Linked DNA regions of Rhinolophus ferrumequinum. The protein of the gene in region 2 binds, or shares a complex with, the protein of the main gene of each other region. Links are inferred from orthologs where the notes say so. Each region holds a gene or a part of one and is shown on either strand. Other genes may lie near its edges.

Region 1 (10,128 bases), on a different chromosome or scaffold from region 2:
TTTGAAAAACATTCTGATCATAAAGAATTTGAAATTAAAATATATTGTAAACAAGTGGGTTTCTATACACATAAAGTGGTACAGAATATCTCCCACACTCTGCTAACTATGTAGTGTAACAGTTCTCTAAAAGCTTGACGTAAGAAAATTAAAGAATATAGTTTCTTCATGCCACAGAAAAGATTATTTTGGCAGAGAGGCTGTTTTGAGATGGTCTAAATGTTAACACTGTATTACTACAGGCCTTACAAAATTCCCTCCAAGTTTTTTACTCATGTAGATACCTTTTGAGATGGACGGTAACTTGAATCAATGCCCCGAGCCAAAGATTCATCAAGTAACGCTTTTAGCTTTTCAGCAGAATCCTTACTCTTTGAATGTAAGAAGCCTAGTGCTTTCAAAAAAATGGGATCGAGTTCCAAGTTTACAGTAGCAGCCATTGCAAACACCTGAAGGAAAAAAAAAGGGGTAATTTAGAGACAAAGAGCAAAGTTTGGCTGTATTTTGTTTATAACAAATAGTGCTGTGCACAGGATACAAAATTCAAAATATCCAAATGGTTATTACAGATAAATTTACTTCCTATCACTGACAGGCATTACCTCGCTCTTTTCCCCTGAAGCAAGAGTGCTTTCAGTTTTCTGTACATCCAAATCCAAGTCTTAAGTCCAGGTAAGTTCCTCCCTACCACAGAGCCTCCTCCTAACTCCATTTTAAAATACACACTTACAGTTTAGTACCCATGAACTTGATGTGCTTAGGTCAAGTTTACTATATATTAAAATGTCTTCTCTCAAAATTATTTCCACGGCAGAAAAAAGATGATTTAGTGTGGGCGATAGGGTATCACAGGAGGGCAATGGTTAGAGGATGCACTAGTGATGAGCCGTAGAAAAGATTTCAGGTGCACAATTCTGTAATATATCATCTATATCTCACATTGCGTGCTCACCACCCAGAGTCAGTTCTCTTTCCATCACCATATATTAGACCCCATTTACCCTCTTCTAGAGCCCCACTCCCCCCTCCCTCCTTACCCTCTGGTAACCCCTAAACTATTGTCTACGTCTATGAATTTTTGTTCTTTCAGTTGTTTGTTGGGTTCCTTTGTTGTTTTCGGTTTATATCCCACATATCAGTGAAATCATATGCTTTTTAAATTTTTCTGTCTGACTTATTTCACTTAGCATTATAATCTCAAGATCCATCCATATTGTCACAAATGGTCCTATTTCATCGTTTCTTACCACCGAATAGTATTCCTCCATGTATATATACCACAACTTCTTTATCCATTCATCTATCGAAGGACATTTTGGTTGTTTCCATGTCTTGGCCACCGTAAATAAAGCTGCAATGAACACTGGAGCACATATGTCTTTATGGATAAATGTTTTCAGATTTTTTGGGTATACCCAGGAGAGGGATTGCCAACAACTCAATATAAACTTTTCACATTGTTACATCATTTTACATAACTTTCTGCCAAGCTCTCTCTACTGGGTGATGGTCTTTTATGTTTACTGTGTGTTTACTTTCTCACAGAATACTCCATTACAATAGAAAGTTTGTTTTTTTGTTCACTGATGCTTTCTCAGTACGCACGTTAATGACACAGACTGGGCATTCATAAAGATGTATGGAGTGAAGGAATTCCCACGTATAATTCCCTTATACTTAGACAATGCGGAAAATTAGTCAAGTTCATAAAAGCAATAAAAATAAATAAAAATAAAAAAATATTTTCACTTCTCACTATCCAAAGGTTAAAGAACAAGATTTTTAACAAGGTCTCTAATGCCCTACATGATCTGGTAATACATGTAAAGCAGTTACAACAGTTCCTGGCACAGAGTATATACTCATTAAATGTTACCTAGTGTTTCGCGCTATTCCCACTCTCTTTGTTGTAGCTGCATGAAATTATTTCAAGTCTTTCAACATATCTTTCTTACCTCAGCATTTTAGTAGAAAATGTCCCATTCCTCATCTTATTCATTCTTCAAGTCTCATTTTCTTTCTGCACATATTCTTACTATTATATGGTCCCAAAACATCCTTATTTGTAACACACTTATTTGTAATAGTTACTGCACTGTTAACTAAGTAAACAGTATCTGTCTTTCTCACTAGAATGTACATTTCTAGAATGAGGGCCAGCAATGGATTGGTCTTACTTACTGCTGTGACCATGTGTCTAGCACCGTGCCTGGCAGATAGTACGTACTATATAAATGTCCGCCAAGTGAATACATGTTATCTACTTCCCTTTTCTAAGAACCTTCTCCTCCTTAAGTTCTATCACATTCAGCTTTTCTGTTTTTCCTCATATCTCTGACTATCGTTTCTTTGGCTCATCTTCTCATCACTGTTGTTCTTGGTATTGCTCAAGTATCTGCCCTTGTCTATCGTCATTAGTTGTGGTGCCAATTTCTTCCCAGGTAATCTGATGTATATCACGTTTTCAACTATCATCTCTAGGCAGATAGTTTCACGTTTATCCCCACTCTCATCTCTCTTAAACTCGAATCCCACATACTTGCTTAATAGACACATCGGCCTGATTGCCCTAATAGTATCTCAAGTTAAATTATGACTAAAATTGAGATTATGAATATCTTCCCCAAAAGTTCCCTGTCCTATAACTTTTTTAAAATAAATGACACAACTCTCTATTAGTCAGGTCTAGAGCCGACATCTATCCCTCACTGAGTCCTCCTCTATTCCTTATATACAAACTATCAGCAGGCCTTTCCTGTGAATTGTGGCTCTGGAACATTGCTCACATTTACACCGTTTTTCACCTCTACTGCTACTATTCAAGTTGAGATCTTTGTGAGCTTTTTCATACTATAGCAATAATCTATTTTAACACTGTTGACTGGAACACCATTGCCATATTAATGCTCCTGTAACACATTTTTCTTTTCCTTTTTAAATGTTCTTCCTCAAAAATTAAGGCTTCCCACTGCCTTCAAAATAAAGCCCAATCTCTCGGCCTGGATTTTAAGAAGATTCATCAACTGGCACAAAAATTGTAATTCTTCATCTTGATTTTCCTCACAGCAGAGCCATTAGCTGGCTTTGCCCCGTCTACTTATTTATTTTTTTCTCTGTCTGAGAAGCTTTTTAAACCATTTTTTAGATTTCCAACTCCGATCAAGGCCTAGTTCAAACATTACTTCTCAGGAGGATTCTACTCACAGCTGGTATGTCCTTTCCCACCCCAAATACTACTAATAATCTTTTCCTCCTAGGATGTCTTGTAGTGCTTTCTCAAGGTACTGGGGACTTTCTACCTTGAACCATACATATTTTTTTTATTTTTATTTTGCACAAGTATTATATACCCTATAAAAGTCTTAAGTATTTTATGGGCAGGGTCTATATTTATCTTTTTGCCTATCACTATGTTACTTTGCAAAGAACCACAAAATAATGGCTATAAAATTATTAAGCAATCAAAGTATAATGGCCTTTTCTCTTCTACATAATTTTAACCACTTCCAAAGCCCTTTCACAAAAAGCAACAGAAAAGCAATTCAAATCTATCATTGCCCCACCTTCCATCCCACCCCCAAATCCCTAAACATAAAAAAAAAAAAAAAAAAAGGAAACCGAAAACAGGTCTTTCATGACCAGGGACCTGTACAATGTTCCTATCTGCAAAGCATGCTTCCCAATCCTTCATCTGGTTAAAATTCATTAATCCCACTGAATTGTAAACTCCATGAGAGCAGGGGCTTTTTTTTTTTTTAAATTCACAGGTATATACCTAGAGTTTGGAACTGGATGGGTATTCAAACATATTTATTGAGGTTTTTGTTGAAATAACACTTTCTAGGGCTTTTGAGATTCTCCAACCTAAATTGGGTCTTCATATATAAATATATGCTTTCCCCTAGATCCTGTTTTCCACCCTACGTGCCAATCTTAAAAGAAGCCCAAAGTTGATCATCTGCATGTGCAGGACATGAAGGAAATATTGCACGCAGAGTGCAATATTAGGGCTGTCACCTCATAACGGCTCTAGTAAGCTTTGCCTTTTATGTCTTTGCAAGCTCTTGCAATGCTTTCTAATAAGCATCCTTTTAAAGATGCTGCTCTTTTCATTCCTCCACTTAGATGTTGGCCTGGGCTATATTGATACCCTAGGGACTCGTCTGGAAACGCAGGGGAGGCAGAAGGACCCCGATTCTAAAACAACGAAATGTCAGAGAACCTGAAAAGCGACAGCAGACTAAGCAGACAGCGACTAAGAAAAGGAATTCCCATCCTTTGATCAAAGCCTGACACACCGTAGGCCTAGCACGGGGGATGCTCCTTGAGAGGGAGCCCGAGAGAAGCTGAGACAGGAAAGAGCGAGCTGTACAGAGAAGTCGCCAAAACCTTCTCAGGAAGGTCCGAGACAGGGATCTCAGGACCTAGCCCCTGGGACTGTGTCCTCCGTCCGAGTGCCCCAGCTCGCAACACCCTCGGAGGACGCAGAGACCTCAATGAAAGGGAAGAGCGGTCAGCCTGGGGCGCGGGATCGCCCGCAAATTACGAGGTTTCCCCATAAGGGCTGAGGAAACTAAGACCCCACGGAACTATTCTCCCACCACATCCCTCGCGGAGGTCTCGAGCCTCCCAGAGGCGGCTGGGAGGAGGGTCGCTCGTCACAACTCACCGCTCCGCCCCGCTACTCCGTAGGTTCCCGTAGCCCCTTCCGAACCGGTCCCGGCACCAGTCCGCTCTGAGAGGTTCCCGCAGCAGAGTCGTGGGGGAAAACTTTCTCTGCGCCACGGTCGGAAGTGACGTAACCCCCTCTGCTTCCGGTCCGCCGGATTATGAATGACGGCCGGCGCGGCTCTTTCTCGGACGAGTTGTCTGTTGTTTCTCTGCCAGTCTGGTAGCCAGTGGTCCGCTGGCGAAGACTCCAGAAGCGGCCTCGGAATCCGGGCTCTAGCGGGACGGGAAGGCGCGGGCGGCCCGTGTCGCCGATGCGAACACGCACCCTCACCCTCCCTGCTTGGCCGCGTCTCTGCGACCAGGTAAAGAGGGCGCTGGGGCCGCCGGCTCCACAGTCCCCGCAACCCCCAAGGCTACTCTTTGCATCCAGGGGAAACAGGACTGACGATGCAGGGATAGGACAGAGGCGTGGAATTAGGGTCCTGATCTCTCTCCGGCCCCTCTTTGGCCACAGCTTCTGAGGGTGCAGGTAGAGGGCCCGGGGCCCCTTAGTTTCCCAGGGCCAATCCCCAGTGGCTTCCTCTGCTGATGGGGGCAACGGAGCAGCTTCTAGTTGTAGGAGTAAGTGGGGGATCGTTTGCGGTTTGCTGCTAAGACCTCTTGGATCACGCTTTAACTTTTTCGTTTTCTTTTTGGCACTTAGTTTTCCATTTCAGCCCTTCCTGATTAGAGAAAGCAGTTCTATGTGCATACAGTTTTAACAGTTGCTCCAAAGGACTTGCTTCAGTTTGGGCTATTTGCTTCTGTCGCACCATCAGTGAGTGTTTCACTTCGGTTTTCAACTTCTGTAGAAAGTTTGAGTTTAACTTGCATTAGAATTGCTTTGGGTTCAGAAACGTTTACTAATACACGTACTTTCCATCCCAGCTCTATACCTGGTTTTGGGATTAGATGACATTTTTTTTTCTCTTATTCTTAATGCCAGGATCTCTTAATGCCAAGATCCCATTCCCTGTCGTAAGTTCTTGAATGTCAAGGAAATGCCAGCAGTTAATAGGAATATATCTTGTGCTAAATTATTGATAAAGAAGGTAGAGTACTACTTTTGTGAGCTTATCTATAGAAAGTATTTAAAGGAGAAAATGCAAAAGCTGGCAAGAACTACTGATGTGACCATTTTAAACGTGTAAACATGATCATTTAAATATTGTAAAAATAAATTGTTATAAATACAATGGAGTGATTTTCTGTCATATTTAATAAATCAAAACATTAAACTATGCGAGTTTTTTTTTTTAACTTCTTGGTGGGGAATATACACTACTGAGGATTGCCTTAGGCGTACTCATCATTTGAAATTGTGTTTGAGTTATACCTGAAGGCATCATTTTAATAGGTCTCACTTAAAAAATAAGTTTGTGAAAAAATCAGTGAGATTTGAGAACCTTTTTAGCAATTCTTTTGTTATTCGTTTTACACTTTTACTACTTGTTTCCCTCCTTTAAACAAAGCTCAAACTTCTGTAGTGAGCCTATCAAGATTTTTTTTAAACCTGTGTTTACTTTGTAGCTTTTGTATCACCTGTGATTTGAAATAATAAATACTGAGTATCTGCTTGGCCTTTCAAACAGCAACAATTTAGCAGACCTTGAAACTTAAATTCTGACGCCAGTCAACTGAAATATCCGTGTTACACACAGTTCTTTAGTGTATGTTGTTTTTATCTTCAAGTATTCAAAGTAGCTTACTGAATTTTGTTATAATTAGTACATGAAATGCAATGATTTAAACCACTTAACATCATAACAAGCACAGGTATTGTTTGCTGTGGGGATTCAGTAATTTTATTTCAGGCTTGCTGATGTTTCTAACATGTTAGCACTTCATTTTGTGAATCCCTGTTAATTATGAGGTCAGGCTTAGCTACGAGCATTATGATTCTAGGGCAACAGATGAATCCCTGATTCTCCAGAGAGAAGATGAGACACTTCTCTTATGACTAAGGTTACAGTAAGCTTTTTACTTTTAAGCATTTTTCCCACTACTTGCCCAGATAAGAAAACAGCTAATTTTAATTATAGTAATGTAATGAGCACAGAAATACCTCAGTTCTTTTTCTCTTTGCTTTGTTAACTGTCAGTATTAAAGTAGTTAGCTGCTGTCTAACTCTGTAGGGGCAGGGTATTTTTGTGTCTTTTTTTTTTTTTTTAATCTTTATTGTAAGAAAATAGAGTGAGCTTTGCTACCAAATAGTGTTATTTTGTGAAATGTATAAAACACAAGCTAAGTTCTAATATCCATAATGTTGAGCATTTGATATAGTAGGGAACTTAAATGGGTTTAAATTTAAGTTCTAATCTCTAAGAAAAATAAGAGTCTATAATTTTTCCTTACCTGTAAACTGTTCAGCTATTTATTTTGTACAATATAAGCAGTTGATATGCATGCGAACTTAGGGATTCACATTTATTTCTACCATTTTGTGTCTCCCTGGATTTCAGCCTCAGTAACAGATTTTTTTTCAGTGTTTGGGGGGAATATCTTTTCCATTCAACATGAACTCGTTACCTTTCCAGAAAAGAAGTTTGGCAATATAAAGCATAATTTGGGGCTTCCCATCAAAATTTGTGCATTTTAAGAGTGCCAATGGATAGGGAATTTGGGGATACATTATAAATGAATGATAATAATAGCAAATTTTTATTTAGGGGCTTATGAATGTAATAGGCATTGTTCTGTTCTTATAGCACACTACATGGTAAATACTGTTATTATTGTCCCCATTTTATAAATGGGAAACTAAGGCACAGAAAAGTTTTCTATTGCTACAAAATCTCAGGACCAGGATTTGAATGTGGATAGTTAGCTCCAGAGTCTAGGCTCTTATTCGCTACTTTATAATTCTTGGTATATTAATATTCTACTTGCTAAGTAAGTATACAGAATCTAGTTAGATTCCTAGTTCTCTTGTGTGAATATCGATATACATAAAAACATCTATGCTTGCTTTACTTACCTGTTTCGATGGGATTCTATTTATTCTTTTTCCAGTTCAGCTCACAGAAGTGATCTCTTTTCTTCATTTTAATTTACACATAGATGGCTCTTAAAATAGATTTATTCATCTGGAAGAGAAAGAATGGTTTCAAGAAGATTGGGGTTCATGTACCAAGACTACAGTTCTCAATGGTACTCTCATTACAGTGATTACTGATACTCATTTATGTACATTCAGTTATTTATTCATTGGGGATGTAATGTCAGGTAATAAGTGCCAAAAAGTAAAAGAAGCAGGATAAGGGGCCAGTGACTGATGGGAGTGCTTTTTCAATTCAGGTTGTCAGGAGAGGCTGCTCTGAGTTAATATTCAGAGACCTCAATGAATGAAGGAGCAAACCATGTGAATATCTTGAAGAAGAACATTCTATGCAGAGGGGACAGCAAGTACAAAAATTCTCAAGTGGAAGTATCCCTGGCATCTTCCAAGAACAGCAAAAGAACTGGCTGGAGAGGAGTGAGCAAGAGGCAGGAGGGGTAGGAGGTCAGAAAAGAAGACAGCTGGGGTCACGTTACGTCTCATAGGCCATAATAGGAAATTTTGATTTTCTCCTACGGTATGTGTGCTGGGAGCCATTGGATGGTTGTGAACAGGGGGTATGATCTGATTTATGTTTTTAAAGGATCACCCTGACTTGTTGAAGCATTGACTGTTGTGTGAAGGGTGGAGGAAAATAGTTAATAGGCTTTTGCAGTGGTCTTTGTAAGAGCTGATGATGACTTAGGTTAAGGTGAAGGTGATAGTCATAGAGATGCCAAGATGTTGGATTTAGCATATATTTCAAAGTTAGAAATAGGTTATGAGAGAGAAGAAAAGACTTCGGAGTTACAGGCCTGAGCATCTGACTGTGTGGTGTTGCCATTTTGCCAAAAAGTGGACTATAAAGGGAAGAGGAACGGGTTTAGAAAAATGTCCACATTGAGATGTCAAGTATGATACAGAATTCAGAAGTTCTGGAGAAAGGACGTGGAAGAGATAAATGTAAGAATCATAGATGATATTTAAACCTATGGCACTAGAGATCACTTAGAACAAAGCTATTATATTGTTGAGTTGTTGGGTCATGAAATCAACTTAGTGAGTATTAACTAGTATTAAAAACAAGAAGAAAGAAAAAGCAACAAGTGAACAATATTGGATATATCCCATGCAGTGGGGTTGTTTTTTTTTTTTATATTTCTTTCATTTTTGTTTTATTCAATATATAATGAGTTGCATTATAAAACATTTTTTATTGTGTGGCATGATCAAAATTTTGAAAGCCAGTGCTCAAAGGAGTGAATGTAGATGGAGAATAGGGTCAAGCAATGAGCCAAGGGTCACTAAGAGGTCCGAGAAGGATCCAGTAATGGAAAACAGAAAGGAACTCTCAAAGCACTTCATCCAATGCTGAGATGGTCAAATACCCCTGCCTTTAGAACAGAGGTTTTTATCAAGGATTACTAGGACCAGCACAATTGCTTAGAAGACCATAATTTCTGATGATTTTCACTTTGGTGAAATTGTGTGTTATGTGCTATTGAGTCAGCTCTGACTCCTGGTGACCCTATGAATGAGTGACATCCATCATGTCCTGTCCAACAGCACCACTCAGCTCCTGGAGACTCAGGCCTATGGCTTCTTTTATAGAGTCAATCCCTATTATATTTGGTCTTCCTCTTTTCCTGCTGCCTTCTACTTTCCCGAGCGTTATTATCTTTTCCAAAGAACTGTGTCTAATGCAGGGCCGCTTCAGTTTTACCACTTTTACCTCCAGAGATGTTTCAAGCTTAATTTGCTCTAGGACCCACCTGTTCATCTTCCTGGCAGTCCTGGGTATCTGTGGAGCTCTCCTCCAACACCATATTTCCAATGAATCCTCCCCTCGCCCCCATCCACCTTCTTTACTGTCCAACTTTCACATCTGTACATTGTAATTGAGAATAACACGATGTGGGTGATCTTACTTAGTCTTGGTCTCTAATGACTCATCTTTGCTCTTCGAGATCTTTTGTAATTCTTCCATTGCTGTCTTTCCAAGTCTCAGCCTTCTCTTGACTTTTATTTTTTAAGATTTGTATTAAAATATAGCTAACCTACAATATTATCTTAATTTTAAGGATACACAATAGTTATTCGACATTTATATACCTAAAGCCCTGACCACCAAAATCCAGCAGCCATATGACATTGTATCACACTATCAAAATATTACTGACTATATTCCCTATGCTGTACATTACATCCCCATGACTTATTTGTTTTATACCTGGAAATTTGAACCTCTTATTTCCCTTCACCTTTCCCCACTCCCCTTTTTAAATTTTTCAATTATAATTGATGTTAAATATTATTTCATATTAATTTCAGGAGCACAGCATAATGGTTAGTCATTTGCATAATTTACGAAGTGATCCCCC
Region 2 (11,020 bases):
AAATTGTTCTAGATTTTAAAAAGAGCAAATGCCATGTATGGGCACTGTTTGCATTTTGATTTGAACAAATCAACTCTAAAAAGATATTTGGGGAACGAGAGAAATTTGAATACAGACTAACTGTTAGATGACATTAAGGATTTAGTTTTATTTGCTGTAGTTAGGTGGTTATGTTTTAAAAAAAATATCCTTTTTTTAGAGATATTTACTGAACTATTTAAAGAAAAATATTATACGTTAAAAAACAGAGGAAGCCAATTTGGCAAAAGATTAATAACTTTAATCACAGAGCTGGGTATCTGGCAGTTCATTATAGTATTGTCTCTACTCTTTTAGAAGCTTAATAATTTTCATACTAAAATGTAAAATTTTCATTCATCTGTGATTCAAATATTTGAAAATCATTTATTCTTTTACTTCAGATCTCACTTTATATAAAAAACAAAAAAATAAACACATTTTGTGAATTTCATTTTCTGTTTAAACTATTGCCTATACTGAATCATGCATGATGTTTTTCTAACCCATTAAAAATACATGGAGAAATAAAATGCCACTTAGCTGATTAAAAAAGGGTGGGGTTGGCTATTGCAGTTACATATTAGGGCCTTGAATTAGGGCAGTAACAGCAGGTTGACAGCACTACATTCCAGAGACAAATTTGATGAAAGAAAGGTCATGATTGAAGTTTACTCCTCCTTTTTGCTCCCACTGTACATACTGTAGTCACAGTATCTTCAGCAACACAACCGTTCATATCATCTTATTGTTTGTATCTGTCTCCATCTGGGCACTACAAGCTTCTGAGGACAGGATTTGGGTCTTTTTGTATCTCTGTATCCACAGTCCCTAGCACACAGGAGACACCCAGTAAAAGACTGCTGCATGAACATCTTCCTTATTTTGCAATATGAACCCATTCTGCAGATATGGTACAACTTACACATACTCCCACCAGGTCCTCAAGACCTTCTTACCTTGTAATAATGTTCCAAGAGAATCCTGACTACTCCCTCCACACTTTCTGCCTCAACAGGCTTCCTGGCAAACTGAAGTAGGTACTGCAAAGCGTCTGCTGGGGACGTAGCTTTACACAGATCTATATGGAGAGCTGCAGATTTACTTGGTTTTGTCAGTCGGAGTTTCTTAGCAGTAATTTCCTCCTGTTGTTGCTGCAAGGGGATAAAGAAGATAAGGCATGAAAACCTAACGGAAAACAGAGAGTCTGCCCATTTAACTTTATCTCATTTGATGGAAACAGTGTTCCTTTACACCAAATAACGTATTTAGGCAATAGACCTAGTCTTAGGAAAAAGCAGCGCTATGAACTGGACAAAGAGCACTGGATTGGAGACAAGGCTACGAGTCCCAAGTTTGCTTTTCACTAGCTCCCATGACTTTGGACAAGTCATTTAATATCTCCAGGTCTCATTTTCTTTCTTTGTAAAGTAGGTCCATTAACATTTTGTTCTGCCTATCTCTTAGAATTGTTGTAGCTTTAGGGTTAAGAGGCCACACACACAAAGAATCAGCTCCATTCTTTGCTAGAAATACCAATTCTACAAATGTATTCAGGCTGTGCTGTGGCACCCACCAGGCTCAGCTTCCCTCCAGAGAAAAACAGAACTGATGGGAACTGTCTGCAGCTTACACTGAGGAAAAAAATCTTTCCCTCACTCCAGATGACTAGCTTCCCCCAAATCATTCTGCCTTTATTAAAAAGATGGTCAGTGTAGGAAAAAAATACACTGCCGTAGGCCTAGCAAACTGTAGCCACTTAATAAATGTTTACTGAATGATTGACTTGGAATGCTGCTCTGTTCTAAGTTAGTCATGATTCTCAGTATTATCATCTGTAAAATGGGGATGACGACACCTACCTTTCTCAACCAGGGATTCTCATCTGAACCACAGAACACATAAAATTATTTGAGTAATTATTTCTCTATCCCCAAAGGGTGGTACAGAACTAGAAACATTCTAGGTGCATTTGTTACATATAATGAGTCCCAAAAAGTTCATGTAAAAGGGAACCTGTCACTCTGGGGTTTAAGTCAGGCCCTAGTGGGTAGGTATAGAGGGGATCATAACATAAGATAAATGTTGTAATCAATAATTTTCCTTAACACTTGACATCATTTTCATATTCTAAGCAATTACCTCCTTACAAATTTACCCTTCTACCGAGAAGAGATTAGGATTATGCTAGACAGCAACATGATATGACATGATAAAAAGACCTGGAGTTCTGAAGTCAGAGGAATTTGGGTTCAATAACCATTTACCCATTTCCATCCTATTCCACACATTCAGTCTTCAGTCTTATCCAGGCTGCAATTAGATCAAAAGCTGGGAAAGATTTTTTCCCTAGAGAGTATGTAAAAGGACAGACAAACCAACATCTGCAATCAACCAACCATCAATGACATTTTAGTGAGCCAGACCCTATGGTCTATCCAGGGGTGACAGGGATGAACCCTCAGGCATTATCTCTGCCCTCAAAGAGCCCAGACTAGTGGGAAAATACGTATACTGGTAATCACAGTAGTAGTACTGAGTGATAAGTAGAAACAGATGAGTACAACAGAGTGCCGTAGAAGTAGGGAAGAGACTAAACTCTTGCTCAGGTTTCAGTTGGGTCTTGAGCCCAACTGATATTTTTGAAGCAAAAATATAAGTCCACTGGGTGGAGAAAAAAAAGAAAGGGAAGAATGATATCCATTCTATGCAAAAGAGACAATAGATACACAAGTTTGGAGAGGTACAAACACATGGCATGTTGGAGGAGGGATGAGTAGTCTTGAGAAGTGGGAACAACAAAATGTTTCCAAAAAAAATTACACTGCACAACAATGTTAATGTACTTAACACCAGAACTGGTTAAAACAGTAAATTTTATTTATGTATATTTTATAACAATTTAAAAAAAAAGGGGAGGATGTCAAGGGAAACAAAGCCAGGAAATCCCAGAAAGCAAGCCACAGAAGAGGGAGCTCTGTGAAGTTAGAAAACGCTATCCTAAATCTTGACTCATTCTAAAAATTCAGAAAACTAATTTCACATTAAAAAGGGCAACAAAAAAGTGTCAAAGTTAAATCTCAAAGTTATTATAAGCAAAAACAAGAATAAGGCAAACTAACTTCCCTACAGACAATGGGAATGTGCTACAAAGATGCGTCCACAAAACAAAAAAGAAAGGAAGGGATACAGCTGGAGGGTATACTGTCAAATCAAGAAGGGCTGGGAGTTTGGCTGGGGAGTTTTTAGGAAACGGAGCTGCAAAAGTAGAAGGATGACTTGATTTGTCAGTGCAATTATCTCTCTGTAGTACGAATCACATATATGATATGCTGTTCTCTCTCTTACTAGACTGTGAGCTCCTAAAGAAGGACCCTCACGTGTATTGGACACTGTAGCTCAATGTATTCATCATACCTGATACATAGTAACCACTCATTCACTCAATAAACTCTTGTTGAAGGAATGAATGAAAGGTTTAAGGATCAGTTCCTTCTGGATGGTCTAAGTCCTGCTACTCTACAAGTAGAAGAATTAAGGGTGGTCTGTGGCTCTAAGGATGCTGCTGATCAACTAGTATCAATTGGGGGCTTGTCAGAAATGCAGATTGCCTCACCTCCACTGCCAGACTTACTGCGTACAAGCTATATTTTAATGTGATTCCCCAGGTGATTTGTATACACATAAGTCTAAGGAGCACGACACATGGAATGACTTAGGATCAACTTCTACTTTAGCGACATCTACAAGGAGACACATGGAGAAGCACTGAGTGCTCTGTCAAGGGCTCGGCACACCGGTCCTTAACTCCAATGGAAGAAGGTATTGCCCACCACCAATGGAAGAGTTCTACCCCAATGAAGCTTGTGACCCACGCCTGCTTTGACTGGGTCTTAAGAATTTCTACAGACTCCTCTTCCATCCCGAGAGCTTTGAGTACAACCAACTTGTCCCTGGGAAAGTGTGTGTGTGTGTGTGTGTGTGTGTGTGTGTGTGCAACAGGAATTGGGAGGGGCTCTGCCACTAATTGGCTCTCTGTCCTCGACCCCTCCAGAAGCTAAATCCACATCCGTAAAACGAGGATATTAATGTAACCTGAATAAAATAACGGTTATTTCCGTAAATGGTAAAGCGCTATTTGTTTCTTCTAATAATTAAAAAAAAGTATCAAGACTGCACATATTAATCATAATAACAAGAATAGGGACAAATGAACACGCCCACTAAAGTGTAGTCCCAGAGAGCCTATCAAAGTAATAGGCGCTCAACCCAAGTTTGTTCCAGCAAAGCGCCTGACGTGTATTTAATCTTCCGCTGCCCGGATCGGTCCCAGGACCTTTCCTTCCCGAGCTTACCTGAACCACCTTAGTGAATTCCTCGTACACCCGCTTCTTAAGGTGCGCCGCCATGGCTGCCAGCGGACCTTCTCAGCTTCCGTACTTGACGAGGAAGGCGGGGGAGTGAAGGGAAGGGGGCGGGCTGAAGGAACCCGGAAAACTAGCTCAGGCCGGAGGAACCGGCCACGGTCCCACAAGGCAGTGGGATTCCGAGAAAGAGTGGCCACTTCCGGCTGCTCGACTGCCCCGTCGCGGTACGGCAGGATTTGGCCGCCTACGCCTCGGGAGCCGGTGGAACGGAAAAGAGAGCGTAGCGGAGGGGGCGGGGCCTCGGGAGGAGGAGGCGGGACTCAACGAGTGGGCGAGCCAATGGGAGCTTTCGGAGGCTTGGTGGTGGTCTCAGGGTTCGAGAGACTGGCGCGGAACGGAGCGGAGGGTGGGACAAAGTACCAGGTAAAGGGCGGAGGCGGGGTTGAGCCAGTGCTACAGGTAAAACCCGGAGCTGCGTAACTATCTTGACTCGGGAGGTAACGGAAAGAGGCCGAGCTGACGTTCTCATCATCCTTTGCTGTGTATAGTGTTTGCTGCTCGTAGCTTGCCTGAGCTTTCCTTTTGGCCAATCAGTGCTCCACCCCTACTCTGTCCTGGGGTGTTTTTTCCTGCTCCCTCACTCCAGTTGTTCAAAATCTACCCATCCTTTAGGGAATAAACCCCTCCTCTGATAGCTGAGGTAGAGTGGAAAGAATCCCCAGGCCAAGGGTCAAACAACGAAGCTTCATACTACAACTGGCACTTAATAAATAAGTAGCCTCAACTACAAATGGGCAGATAACACCTAACCTGACAAATTTAGTGACAGTGGAATGAGATAATGCACAAATAGTTTGCAGACTGTAAAGTGTGGTTCCTGTTGTAGTGTTAATAAATCCAAGCTCAGTTTTACATCCTAGATTAAACTTGAGCTGTTCATTGTTTCATCTTTGAAAAGAGTTAATGTGGGATGCTGAGAAAAAGCAGCAGGCTGTAGTAGGTACAGAAGACCCAAAAATGCATTAAAAGATGGTCTTTACCCTCAAGGTGCTGTAGCCTAACTGGGGAGAGACACCCAAGCTGATAATTAGTGGGCAGCCAAAGTGTGCTGGATAAGAGGAATGTGGTTCAAACAGACCTAACTTCTTCAGGATGTCTCAGGGAAGTTTTACAAAGGGAAGGATTTTTAATCTGGCTTCAAAATACAGGCATATCTCAGAGGTACTGCAGGTGTGGTTCCAAACCACTGCAATAAAGTGAATATTGCAATAAAGCGAGTTACATGAAGTTTTGGTTTCCCAGTACATATATAAAAGTTATGTTTATACTATACTGTAGTCTATTAAGTGTGCAGTAGCATTATGTCTTTAAAAACACAATGTGCATACCTTAGTTAATAAATACATTATTGGTAAAATAATGCTAACCATCATTGGAGCCTTTAGGCGAGTCAATCTTTTTGCTGATGGAGGGTCTTCAATTTGTAAAAATGCAGTATTTGCGGAACACAATAAAGTGAAACACTTTATTGTGAAAGGAGGTATGCCTGTCGTAAATTTTCTCAGACCACAGAGATTACGGTACATTATATTACATTATATATACGTACATTATAGTACATTATATAAATGTACTGAGTGAAGTGAAAAGCGCTTAGCGAACAGTGCCTTCAATAAACGTTACCAGCCATTATTATTATTAATATTATTATTACCACGTTCTATCAAATCTAAGCTGCCAGGAATTGTAAAACAAACCATTATTTTGTACAACACATTAAGAAAAAAATTCTGAAATTAAAAATAATGGTTTCTTATTGCTTAGGCTTGTTATACAGAGGGTGCCAAAGAAATGTATACACATTTTAAGAAAGGAAAAAACTGTATTAAAATTGTAATACAGTGAATGATGCTAGCATTCATTTGATTAACGCTATCTTTTAAGCGAACATCATACTACATACTACTACCGTAATTCAATTCAACTTCAAAAAGTAATAAATAACATCTCTTAAAATGTGTACATTTTTTTTGCACCCCTGAAAAAAGAGCTCTTTTAAACCTATTTAGATGGAAATTTCTATCCTATGTCATACTGCTGTCTATCCTATGTCTATGCTTCCTGTGCACATAAAAACTCTTAATGCAAGTTGCAAGGTCATCTTTTTGAGATACAGTAGCTGTATCTCATACACAGAGCTCAGCTGAAGCAATGATAACATGGAGTGCTGTGACACAATCTACACATGAAAACCTGGCCAACAGCAATCTTAAAACATGTCCTGGTTTCAGAGATGTTAAATGTGCAGCTAAGCATTAATGACACAAAGTTTATCATTGTTATTATTAGTAATAGATATGAGGCCTAGGAGGAAGTTTGACGCACTCGGAGAAACCAAAGGAAATTCAGTTCATAATGAGAGTAAAGTGCATACAGGGAGCATACAGCGGAGGCCAGACTGGTATAGAAACTAAAGTATTACACTTTAGTGCACTTTAGTATGCACTTTAGTTTCTATACCAGTCTGGCCTCCGCTTCTCAATTTTACTTCTATCAGGGAGGAGTGATAGAAGTAAAATTGAGAAGCGGAGGCCAGACTGGTATAGAAATTAAAGTAGTCCACATTCTTTAATTTTTTTTGTCACATTTGTGTTATTTTGTTAAGATTTCTTTTCTCGTAATGAAATCACATTCTTTAATTTTGAAATGAAAAACTGTCTTTATTGAATCGATGACATTTTCCTTGGACCTTCATTATTGCATATGAGAATACAATGAGGTGCCCCAGTGAATACCTTGGGCTTCAAATAGAGTCTTCTCTGTCTCTATTGTATAACAACAACTCAATTTCCCCTTGGAAATTAGGGTCAGTCTTTCAGACTGGAAGTGTATCCCCTTGTCTGCCTGTTGGCTCAGCAAGAAGTGCCCCAAATGAGCAGGGGCAGTCTCATTGCATGTTCCAATATACTAGAACAATGACTGTGTTCTTTAATGGAACTGTTCCTCCCTTGGGGACTAAGTACTCCTAACACTGAACCCAAGAATTCATAAATGAGTTATTAGGTGTAAAAGTGTCAAGAAGCACTCCTACCTCCACCCCCTAGTTCCCAGGCCCATGTATTCTAACTGAGAGAAACTACTGTGTATTAGCGGTTGGTAGAAGGCATATCACAAACCTGTAAGGCAGCACCCCAAACTCATAATGTGTTGTCTCTCGGCTAGCACCATAACTGAGTCTGAAAAAGGTCATGACACTGTTTTCATTACAGTAACTACATCTGAGTGATGGGGTACCTGGAAAGACCAATGAGTTTCTTTGCTAAAATTCTTCCACCATAAAATAAGCTCCTTAGTCAGAAGCAATGTGTGATATACTATGAAAATGAATTAGGTATCCATGAATGGTAGGGCTGACAGAAACATTGCAGTTAGGTATATGAGTTAGGGTTCTCCCGGAAAACAGAACCAGTTGGACACGTATAGAGATATTAGGCTACTCTAACAGAATACCACAGAGGGGCTTATAAACAACAGAAACTTATTTCTCACAGTCCTAGAGGCGAGGAAGTCCAAGATCAAGGTGCAGGTAGATTCGGTGTCTGGTGAGAACTCATTTCCTGGTTCATAGATAGCTGTCTTCTCACATGTCCTCACATAGGAGAAGAGGCAAGGGAGCTCTCTGGAGTCTCTTTTATAAGGACACCAATCCCATTCATGAGGGCTCTTCTCATGACCTATCACCTCCCAAAGGCCCCACCTCCTAATACCATCACATTGATGGTTAGGGTTTCAACACAGGAATTGGTAGGGGTGGGGGCAGACACAAACATTCAGTCAATAGCAGTAGGAAAGTCAAATCTGAATCTGTATCTATTCCTGTGAGGTTACGTCACTACTCCCTCCCTGATGGAAAGGATCCGGCGTGTAGTAGAATGACTACAAAAATGGCCCCAGCTCTCCCCCTCTCGGTATGCATACCCCTTGAAATGTAGCTTTGAAGCGGCTTCTATTAAGAGATGGAATCTATATCCCCACCTTTGAATTGGGCTGGCCTTGTGCATGGCCAGTAGAATGTAGCAAAAGTGACAGTGTGCTAGGTTTGAGCCTGGGCCTCAAGGTTCATCCACATACCAATTCCCCCGGCTTTTTGCTTGATTTTGGAACCCTACCATTGCCATGAGAATAAATCCCACCTAGTCTGCTGGAGTGTGAGTGACCACATGGAACAAAGCCAAGTTGATCCAGTTAAGCCCATCTTGGACCAGCCCTACCCTAGCTGATCCACCATCTGACTACAGATTCATGAGTGATCCCAAGACCAGAAGAACTGCCCAATCTGTAGGCTTATGAGACATAATTAATTGTTGTAGTCTTAAGGCATTGAGGTTGGGGGTCAGGGGATTGTCGTGTGGTCAGACAGTCCCTAAATTGCCAAGTCGACTTGCCACACTTCCATAGATTCAGCTGGTAAGGAGACAACAAGCCCACATTTATTTAGACAGTTTATTATTCACAGCATAGCAGGTGGCATGAACTTTGTGTTTGTATTGGTTCTCCGTGTCCCCCTAGATCCATGGGAGTGAGGTAGGTGAATGCCATGCACATGATAGATCTCTAACACCAGTGAAGAATACTCAGCTTAGGGAACTCTCAATCTTAAAAGACGAATGTTAGCAAACCTGCACTCTGGTTAGGAAACAAGTCTGCCTTACAACCCAGGGAGAGATGCTTTTTATTACCCTGAAATGTCTTCAGGATTGGAGAGTTATACTTTATTACCCTATAATGTAAGTAAATCTGCTCCCGACCCCGAAGCACCATTGCAAACAAAGCTGTCAGTTTCATTTGCTTAGAAACACCAACATTTCTTCCCACAACTTGTTACAGAGCAGTATAGCTAACTAATTTGCAGTGCAATCAACCTACCCCACGAAGTGTCTAGCCATGCACCCTCTCCCCCCACCAAAAAATACCATTTAAGGGGCTTAGTCTCTGCTGTTGGACATCCATCAATTGCCTGATCATCTATGGTGAGAGGAAGTCTATACTGTAGAACCTATGCATAGCCTCCATTTCTGCCATTGTGGCTTTTCATGACCCCATTGAGCAAGCATTGAGGAGCTAGGGAAAGAAGTTGAATGATATCCACAGGTTGGATCATTGTGTCGTTTGTTTATTTATTTATTTATTTATTTATTTATTTATTTATTTATTTATTTATTGAGCCTCTTCTAGAATGGATACCCTTTGAAGGGCATTCATAACAAACACAAATATTTTCACTATTCCAAGAGGTCCATCCACATACCAACTTCCCAGACCTTCTTTCACTCTTGTACTTTCCAAGTCTGACCAACCAGGAAGGGACTTGGGCATGCACTACCTAGGGATCAGACTTCCAGGACATTGAGGACAGCAGAAAGAGGAAGAGAATGGATAGGGAAGGGGTGGGAGAGGGTGAGGAAAATCAGTAATTTTAAAAGAAAAATCTAGGAAAACAATGTAGACCTGAAAACCTGGCACAGTGCTATGAATGAAGGTATCTCTATGAGGGCAATATCAAAGGTTTTACTCTTTTTGTGTTTTTCCTATGGATTATAATGACAGTTATACTTAGCATTCAATTTTGTTTTCCCCCTCTGACTATAATTTTCTTTAGTTAATCCCAACAGATCTGAAAAGTCTCATTACCCCTACAAATGAACATATAGTATTTTAAATATTATTGTGTCTTACTGTTCTGTTTTTTCTGTTAAAAAACGGGAAGGGAGGAGATGGTATTATTGGGTAGGCAAACAAGAGTGTCCATTTAATTTATATACTTCTAATTTATATCTTTCTGGACATTTTTTCACCATAACCGTGTAAGCCCTGCCACCTTAAATCCTTTTTGATGTTAATATTTAATTAAATTGCATAGACTTAAATGAGCATTCTCCTCTCTAATAATTTTAAGCCATCTATAAATATTACTTTAGTTGCTATATAACATTGCATTATACCGTGTTTCCCCGAAAATAAGACCTAGCTGGATCATCAGCTCTAATGCGTCTTTTGGAGCAAAAAAAAATTAATATAAGACCTGGTCTGATATTATATAAGACCTGGTATTATATATATTATATACATTATATATATTATTTATATTATATCATATCATATTATATTATATTATACTGTGTCTTATATTAAGACTGGGACTTACATTAATTTTTGCTCCAAAAGACGCATTAGAGCTGATGATCTGGCTAGGTCTTATTTTCGGGGAAACACAGTATAGATGTATTAGGTTGGTGCAAAAGTAATTGTGGTTTAAAAAGTTAAAAATCATTGTAAAAACCGCAATTACTTTTGCACCAACTAATAGTATAACTTACCTGACTTATTTCCAATTGATTTGCTATTATAAGTTAAGTGAGATAAAAATAATATGTTATCTTATTTGTATTACGGACAGGGAGTTGGAGGGGGATATTGAACTTGCCTTTGTTTAATAAAATAGTTTGGTAAATTGCTTAGGAAGAGAATCAGGTCCTAAGGGATGCAGGCTAGAGCCAAAGCAATAAAAAATGGTAGCTAGACTGGAACTTGGTCTTCTCCGGGCAAATGACAAGAACCCAAGAAGGCTGGTAGAA

Evidence for each region. The genes of interacting proteins can lie anywhere in the genome.
Region 1: INTS4 (region 2) and INTS12 share a complex: the UniProt entries of both Homo sapiens proteins name them as parts of the integrator complex. The link is inferred for Rhinolophus ferrumequinum from reciprocal best matches to the Homo sapiens genes INTS4 and INTS12.

What each region holds. Positions count from the first base shown.
Region 1 is NC_046288.1:55,684,465-55,694,592, forward strand, and holds the start of INTS12 (integrator complex subunit 12), read right to left. Parts: upstream 4,783-10,128; 5' UTR 4,670-4,782; intron 450-4,669; 5' UTR 441-449; coding exon 285-440; intron 1-284. UniProt on the Homo sapiens protein: Component of the integrator complex, a multiprotein complex that terminates RNA polymerase II (Pol II) transcription in the promoter-proximal region of genes.
Region 2 is NC_046294.1:52,164,051-52,175,070, forward strand, and holds the start of INTS4 (integrator complex subunit 4), read right to left. Parts: upstream 4,661-11,020; 5' UTR 4,428-4,660; coding exon 4,374-4,427; intron 1,173-4,373; coding exon 978-1,172; intron 1-977. UniProt on the Homo sapiens protein: Component of the integrator complex, a multiprotein complex that terminates RNA polymerase II (Pol II) transcription in the promoter-proximal region of genes.